Linked DNA regions of Callithrix jacchus. Each later gene encodes a partner of the first gene's protein in a complex. Links are inferred from orthologs where the notes say so. Each region holds a gene or a part of one and is shown in the gene's direction. Other genes may lie near its edges.

What was found.
Region 2: the proteins of MIDEAS (region 1) and DNTTIP1 are in contact, whole or in part, in a cryo-EM structure (PDB 6Z2J), measured with the Homo sapiens proteins. The link is inferred for Callithrix jacchus from reciprocal best matches to the Homo sapiens genes MIDEAS and DNTTIP1. Residues at the interface, in NP_001036783.1 of Homo sapiens: Gln768, Asp771, Leu772, Thr774, Ala775, Ser778, Ser779, Ile802, Leu803, Leu806; in NP_443183.1 of Homo sapiens: Pro63, Ser66, Leu69, Leu70, Ala72, Val73, Leu74, Pro76, Ser77.

Annotation. Positions count from the first base shown.
Region 1 is NC_133509.1:108,642,422-108,645,921, reverse strand, and holds part of MIDEAS (mitotic deacetylase-associated SANT domain protein), read left to right. Parts: intron 1-668; coding exon 669-735; intron 736-1,207; coding exon 1,208-1,350; intron 1,351-1,476; coding exon 1,477-1,580; intron 1,581-2,062; coding exon 2,063-2,138; intron 2,139-2,829; coding exon 2,830-2,918; intron 2,919-3,500.
Region 2 is NC_133506.1:41,032,029-41,036,144, forward strand, and holds the start of DNTTIP1 (deoxynucleotidyltransferase terminal-interacting protein 1), read left to right. Parts: upstream 1-1,316; 5' UTR 1,317-1,384; coding exon 1,385-1,489; intron 1,490-2,070; coding exon 2,071-2,141; intron 2,142-3,333; coding exon 3,334-3,430; intron 3,431-4,116. Other genes in the region: WFDC3 (WAP four-disulfide core domain protein 3), read right to left, coding at 397-464. UniProt on the Homo sapiens protein: Increases DNTT terminal deoxynucleotidyltransferase activity (in vitro). Also acts as a transcriptional regulator, binding to the consensus sequence 5'-GNTGCATG-3' following an AT-tract.

The DNA of each region.
Region 1 (3,500 bases):
ACTGGTGTGATCTCGGCTCACTGCAATCTCCGCTGCCTGGGTTCAAGCGATTCCCCTGCCTCAGCCTCCTGAGTAGCTGGGACTACAGGCGCAAATCACCATGCCTGGCTAATTTTTTTTTCTCTTACTTTTTCCTACATTCCAAAATTTTTTAATATTTTAGTAGAGACGGGATTTCACCATGTTGGCCAGGATGGTCTTGAACTCCTGACCTCAGGTGATCCGCCAACCTCAGCCTCCCAAAGAGCTGGGATTATAGGCGTGAGCCACTGTGCCTGGACAAAAGCCAGTTTTATGTTGGAGTTGATTTTCTAGTGCTGGGGCTTCTGGGGGCAGGGATATGGCTTTAGTAGTAGAAGCAGTAATAATAATAGCTAATATTTATTGAGTGCCAGCCTCTGTGCATTATTTCATCCAATTCTCAACCCTAGAAGACAGTAGTGATAGCCTCTTTTGGTGAGTGTGAAAACTGAGGCACTCAAATATTTAGGGCAAGGCCTGAGTTTTGTAGGTGGCAGGCTGCAGAGCCAGGACTCAGATGCCTGTGTTCCCTGCCTGAGCTCTGTGTATCTCCACTGTAACTCTTGCACATATAGGGCAGCCACTAGAGTTGGGGATGCTTTGCTGAAAGGAGGGTGCTATTTATCAACTTTCTCTTTGTCCCATAGACAGTGCTGAAGTCACCCCGCCTGTCCTCTCTGTGATGGGGGAGGCCACCCCAGTGAGCATCGAGCCGTAAGTGCAGCCCTGCCCCTGGCCCAGGGTGTGCAGGTGGCCACACTGGTGCAGTGTGTGCAGGTGGGCCCTGGGAGTGACAGGAGGGTTCTGTTGGGCCTGCAGAGGGGTTGGGAGGGCCTCCCTGGGCTTTCGTATTTGGCCCTGGGATTTGCTATCCCCCGCCCTGCCTCTGTGTGGAAGTTACAGGGAAGTGCAAGGACTGGCTCAGCTTGAACTTATCTCTAGGAGAGTTGGAAGTGGGGTCTTTCCCATCTGTAAACCTGGAGCTGCTTCTCCCCTCTCCAATCTCTGGATCTTGCCTTTCTGGTAGTGGCTGCCCTCCCAGTCCCCTAGAAGTCATACCCACTGCACCTAGCTGAGGCCTTGCTCTGCGGGCTCCCCCCATCTTCTTCCCACCCTGAGGGATAATCAAGTCCATTGTCCCCGCAAGGTGAGGCTTCACCTCCTCCTGCCCTTTTTACTCCTCTAGACGGATCAATGTGGGCTCCCGGTTCCAGGCAGAAATCCCCTTGATGAGGGACCGTGCCCTGGCAGCTGCAGACCCCCACAAGGCCGACTTGGTGTGGCAGCCATGGGAGGACCTAGAGAGCAGCCGGGAGAAGCAGAGGCAAGGTGAGAAGGGGCCTGGAGGCAACAAGTGAGGGCAGGCTGGTCCGCACTAGGGTGGGCCAGGTCTCATCCCACCCAGCCCTGCACTGAAAGTGGTTTCCTCCCTTCCTCACACTCCTACGGATCCAGTTGAAGACCTGCTGACAGCTGCCTGCTCCAGCATTTTCCCTGGTGCTGGCACCAACCAGGAGCTGGCCCTGCACTGTCTGCACGAGTCCAGGGGAGACATCTTGGTGAGAAGGCACCCTCAGCAGAGGGAGGGCCCCTCGAGGGGTTGGCTTGGATCCATGTCTCTACTCAGCTAGGCCTACTGGCATGCATATTTGAGGCCAGTTGACCAAGGAAGGGGCCATAGGGGCTTGGCCCAAGGGAGCCCTAGTTTCAGACCCCAGGTTTTGCTTTGCAGTGTCCCCCTGTCCATGCCCATCCCTGATTCTGGGTCACTGGACTCAGACTGGATGGTTGCTGAGGGTCTTCTCTAGCAGTGCTGCTTCCCTTGGAGCCAAGGCTCTCTTAAGAGGCCCTGAGGCCCGGTTTCTGGGCAGCCCCACCCCTATGACCTCACCACCCCACTGGACCCAACCTCTTATCTGTCAGTAGTTAAGGTGGGCCAAGGGTAAGTGCCCACCCTACTCAGGAATTTAACAGAGCCTAAGATATATCCACCACTGATATCCCTGCCAGGGCCCTGAACCTTCCCTCCCTTCCCCTCCAGGAAACGCTGAATAAGCTGCTACTGAAGAAGCCCCTGCGGCCCCACAACCATCCACTGGCAACTTATCACTACACAGGTGGGCCTGGCAGCAGAGGGCATGGTGCCCGGAGTGTCGAGGTCTCCAGCATCATTAGGGCCCTGCTCAGTGCTGAGTCGAAGCCCTGGGTGTGGGCAGGGAGGAGGAGGGTAGATAAACCAAGAGTCAGAATGAGAGAACAGCCACCAAAGCTGGGGCAGCTCTCCAGGGGCTTCCTGTACCCTGGAGGGGGAAGGGAGAAGGGAGTAGGCAGGTGGAAGCCCATCCAGGCAAAAAGGCCCAGGTCACAGGGACAGGAACCCAGGGAGAGCCATCCAAACTGGCATCAGGTACCTGGAACTTAGCCCTGGGAGTGCATGTCCTGTTCTGGGCAATGTACTTTAAGAAGGACATGGACTGAGTCACATAATCCTAGCAGCGGCTGTTCTCGGTCCATGTTAGTGCTACATTTCATCTGCACCAGGCAGAGCACCAAGGGTTTCACATGCATTATCTCATTTAATCCTCACCACAGCTGGTGAACCAGGCAATTTTAGTTTCCATTTCACAAGCAAGGGAGCGAGGCTCTGAGTGACATGGCTAGTGTGTGGTGGAAGCGGGACGAGGAGCCAGCTCTGATGCCTGCAGAGACCATGGGCAAATGGTCTCACACTTACCTGCTGGTCAGAATTGCCCCGCAGTGGCCAAGGCTCTTCCCAACTCACTCCCTGGCTGCCTCTTTGCCCCACAGGCTCTGACCAGTGGAAGATGGCCGAGAGGAAGCTGTTCAACAAAGGCATTGCCATCTACAAGAAGGATTTCTTCCTGGTGCAGAAGCTGGTGAGCTGGGCTCTGTTTCAGGGTCAAGTGAGGGCCTGGAGCTGCCTGTGTGACTTCGGGGCTCTCTCTGCCTGTGACCAAGCCCTCTTAAAAAGCACTCAGGTCTGCAACTTCATCAGAGAACACAAACCAGAAGGGGAAAAAAAGAGAAAAAAGCAGTCAGGTCAATGCTACTGCATAGCCTCAGAGAGAATTTTCTAGACAATACAAGAAAAAGAAAGATTAGGCTTCTTTTCCCTATTGGTTCTAAGCATCCTTTCCCCACCTCAGGCTCTGGGGTCTCAATCCAGAAAGAGGCCTAAGGGCATCAGACTTAAAATAAGCAGGAGGAAGACGGGGTGAAGGGTGGCAAGTAGAGGTGAGCCATTCCCCAGGGGAAGGTGGGAGGGGAGGGCGCCCTGGGGTGAGGGGAACTGAGAGCCAGCAAGTAACCTGCGTAGCTTTACCTGCTTCCTTTGACCCAGAGTTGCCTTCCAGTAACTCAGCTGTTGAAGCCTACTGTCCATAGATTTATCTTGTCCTCTCCCAATGTTCTTCTGGAGGAGCAGACGCTTTGCTAATCCAAGCAATTGTATCTTTCCA
Region 2 (4,116 bases), on another chromosome or scaffold:
GAATTTCATAATAGTAACTACGGACAGCATTGTTTGAGGGTTTACTCATGCTAGTTTTAAGCACTTTACATGAGTTAACTCACTAATCCTCACTGCAACCCTACAAACTACATGCTGTTATCCCCATTTTACAGTTGGGAAAATGAAGGCACAGAGAGTTTAAGAACTGTGGGTCACACAACTAATAAGTGGTGAAACAGAGGCAAGCAGTCCAATTCCAATTCCATAGCCAGTCCAATAGCCAATTTTCTTAACCACCATACAATACCAAATTTTAACCCAGATATTTCTAACTGCAAGACTCATGCAATTTCCACTACTCTTGTATTGTGACTTGGAAAGAGTAACAGGCTCTACCACCATAAATGGATCCAATTATATTCAGGGATGTCTTACCTCTGCGACAGAGCTAAGGGAACCTCTGGAGAACTCCACCTTGTTAAGTTCCTGCATCCCCAGCCCATCCCAGAATCACCTGTCTGGGGACAGAGGCTCAGATCTTTGGGACTGGTCAACACACAGCCTTCATTCTGGTGCGTTCAGACACAAGAGGCAGCCACTGGGGTCGAAGCCTGGAGAGACCCAGTGAGTGTTTTGGGATGGCACGGACTGGAGGCCCCTTTGTTGAGTGCCCCAATCTTCGCATTAGGCCCACTCCAATGTTGGAGGCTGAGGGTCCAGAATATTAAAATCTTTTTTTTTTTTTCACTCTGTTGCCCAGGCTGGAGTGCAATGGCACGATCTCAGCTCATTGCAAACTCCGTCTCCCGGATTCAAGAAATTCTCTTTGCCTCAGCCTCCCAAGTAGCTGGGACTACAGGCGCGTGCCACCACGCCTGGCTAATTTTTGTATTTTTAGTAGAGACAGGGTTTCGCCATGTTGGCCAAGCTGGTCTCGAACTCCTGACCTCAAGTGATCTTCCCGCCTCGGCCTCCCAAAGGGCTGAAATTACGGGCGTGAGCTACAGCGCCTGGCCGACCATATTAAAATCTAGCTTTCAAAAACTGAACTGCAGGCGCCACTGTACCAAACGCTTCCCTCTGCTCCCCAACCCCAGCCTACAGAAACCTGCTCCCCTCCTCCTACACCGCAGTCATCCACCGGCTTTGGCCCAGCGGGGAACATCCCTTGACTGAACCGCCACTGAACACCCACACTCCACAATCGAGGCGCAACCCTCCCGGGAGGAAGCCCCAACGACCTCCACGCGCAAGGCCTCTATATAACACTGTCCCCGGCAAGGGACGGTGGCTCAGTTCCCATGGTAACCCGCAGCTCCTGCGTCGCGCTTCCGGGCTGAACAGCAGCGCGCTTCAGTGACGTCACGGAGCCACCTTCTGGCCGGTGGCACAGTCGAGCGAAGTAGTAGGGGCCGGGGGCGCCATGGGAGCCACTGGCGACGCCGAGCAGCCGCGGGGACCCAGCGGGACCGAGCGAGGCGGCTTGGAGCTGGGGGATGCGGGCGGAGCGGGGCAGCTGGTTCTCACGGTGAGGGCGCCCCGGGGGAGGCCTGGGCTCGGGCAGGGCAGGGCCTCGGGTTTCCTGGGACCCTGGCCCGCGGGCGAGAGAATGCGGCGGCTGGAGCTGCAGAGGGGTTGGCGTTTTCGCAGCCCGACGACCTGGATTCAAATTCTGGTGCCGCCCGCCTAGCTAGGTGATGTGGGCCGATTCTGTCAACCCCTTGAGCCTTAGGATCCTCTTCTATAAAATGGAGATGGTTAGTACCTGTCTCATAAAGTTGTGGGATGGGAAAATAAAGGCGGATACAGCGCCCAGTACATCACCTGGCACAGAGTTGACCCACGGTATACACTGCTTCCCTTCTTCCTGCCGTGCCAGAAAGGCGGGGTAGGGACTTTTAAGGCAGGAAACTTCCTTTGTTCCTCTTTTCTGGCGCGCAAAGCGGAGGCCTTCCAACTGTTATCCTCCCCCGCTACCCCAAGGTGGGAGAGATGGTGTCGAATCTGAGAAACAGGGATGTCTAGATTTAACTTCATACCCACCCTCCACTTCCACCCCATCCCAATGTCACCAACCGCAGTGATATTTATTCACTTGGTCCCCCACAGAACCCTTGGAACATAATGATAAAGCACCGGCAGGTGCAGCGGAGAGGCCGCCGCTCACAGATGACGACAAGGTAAGGCTGGCCCTGCATGGGACTTATATCCCAGCCACTGGCTTACATGGCAGCTTTGGGATCCCCAGTGCACAAGGCTATGGAGATCTACAGCCGGTAAAAAAAACACAGGACTGGGAAAGAGGAGACTCCGATTCTGTAACTCTGTGTGATTTTGAGCTAGTCAATTCACTTCCTTCTCTGAACTCATGTACAAAATGGGAAAGGGTGCAAGACATGGGTTGTAGAGTAAACAATACCTAAGATCCCTCATATTCACCGGCTCTGTGGTTGAGGACTCTAAAGAGATCAGATAGCATGGAGTTTAAGAGCACAGGCTCTGGAGTCAGACAACTGTGTTCTTGTGCAGACTCTGATGAGCCCCTATTTTCTCAACTGTAAGAGTGATTAATAGTATCTTCCTCAGAAAAGGGAGAGAGCACAAGATGGACCTTTGGGATGCTGGTAGTGGTGAAATGGATGTTCACTGTAATTACTCATTAAAGTGTATAGACTTTTCTGTATTATATTTCATAAAAACACTTTGATGGCCGGGCTCAGTGGCTCACGCCTGTAATCCTAGCACTTTAGGAGGCAGAGGCGGATGAATCACCGTAGGTCAGGAGTTCAAGACCAGCTTGATCAACATGGTGAAAAACCCCCTCTCTACTAAAAATACAAAAATTAGCCAGGCGTGGTGGCACACGCCTGTAATCCCAGCTGCTCAGGAGGCTGAGGCAGGAGAATTGCTTGAACCCAGGAGGCAAACGTTGCAGTGAGCCAAAAACCACTGCACTCCAGCCTGGGTGACAGGGTGAAACTCCATCTCAAAAAAAAAAAAAGAAAACACTTTGAAAATAATACCCACGGCTGAGCACAGTAGCTCACACCTGTTATCCCAGCACTTTGGGAGGCCAAAGTGGGTGGATCAGGAGATCAGGAGTTCGAGACCAGCCTCCTGACCAACATGGTGAAACTCCATCTCTTTAAAAAAAAAAAAAAGAAAGAAAGAAAATACCCACTTCATAGAGTTATTATGAGAATGAAATAAAGTCATGCCTCTGTGATTTGCACAAAATCAGAGCATGTAGCTAGTTTTCAATAAAAGCTGTCTAGTATTGTCAAAGGATTCTATGTCCAAAATTGACTGGGCAGGCTGGGAAAGAATATGTTTGGGACATGCTCCCTCACCCTGTCTCCCTCCTGAATGCAGTTTCACAGATCCTGCCATCTCCATGGATCTGCTTCGTGCTGTCTTGCAGCCTAGCATCAATGAGGAGATCCAGACTGTCTTCAACAAGTACATGAAGGTGAGGGACACAGGATAAAAGAATAACAAGGGAGGCCGGGCACACTGGCTCATGCCTGTAATCCTAGCGCCTTGGGAGGCTAAGGCAGGCAGATCACATGAGGTTAGGAGCTCAGCTTGACCAACATGGAGAAACCCTGTCTCTACTAAAATATGAAATTAGCTGGGTGTGGTGGCATATGGCTGTAATCCCAGCTACTCGGGAGGCTGCGGCAGGAGAATTGCTTGAACCTGGGAGGTGGAAATTGCAGTGAGCTGAGATTGTGCCATTGCACTCCAGCCTGGGCAACAAGAACAAAATTCCGTCTCAAAAGAAAAAAAAAGAAGTATTTATTGAGCCACTACCATACTACCAGGCACTATTCCAAGCACTGGGGATGTAGCAATAAACAAACAGTTACTCTCTGTAAACAGTGACAAGGTAAGGATGACCCTACATGGGACTTATATCCCAGCCACTGGCATGCATAGCAGCTTTGGGATCCCCAGTGCACAAGGTAACAGTAGAAAGAATAGAGGACTGGTAAAGAGGAGACTCTGAGCTTCAAGTGATCATCCCACCTCAGCCTCCCAAGTATCTGGGATTATAAGTGTGCACACCACACCTGGTTAATTTTTTTGTATTTTTAGTAGAGACAGGGTTTCACCATGTTGGCCAGGCTGGTCTCAAACTCCTGACCTAAAGTG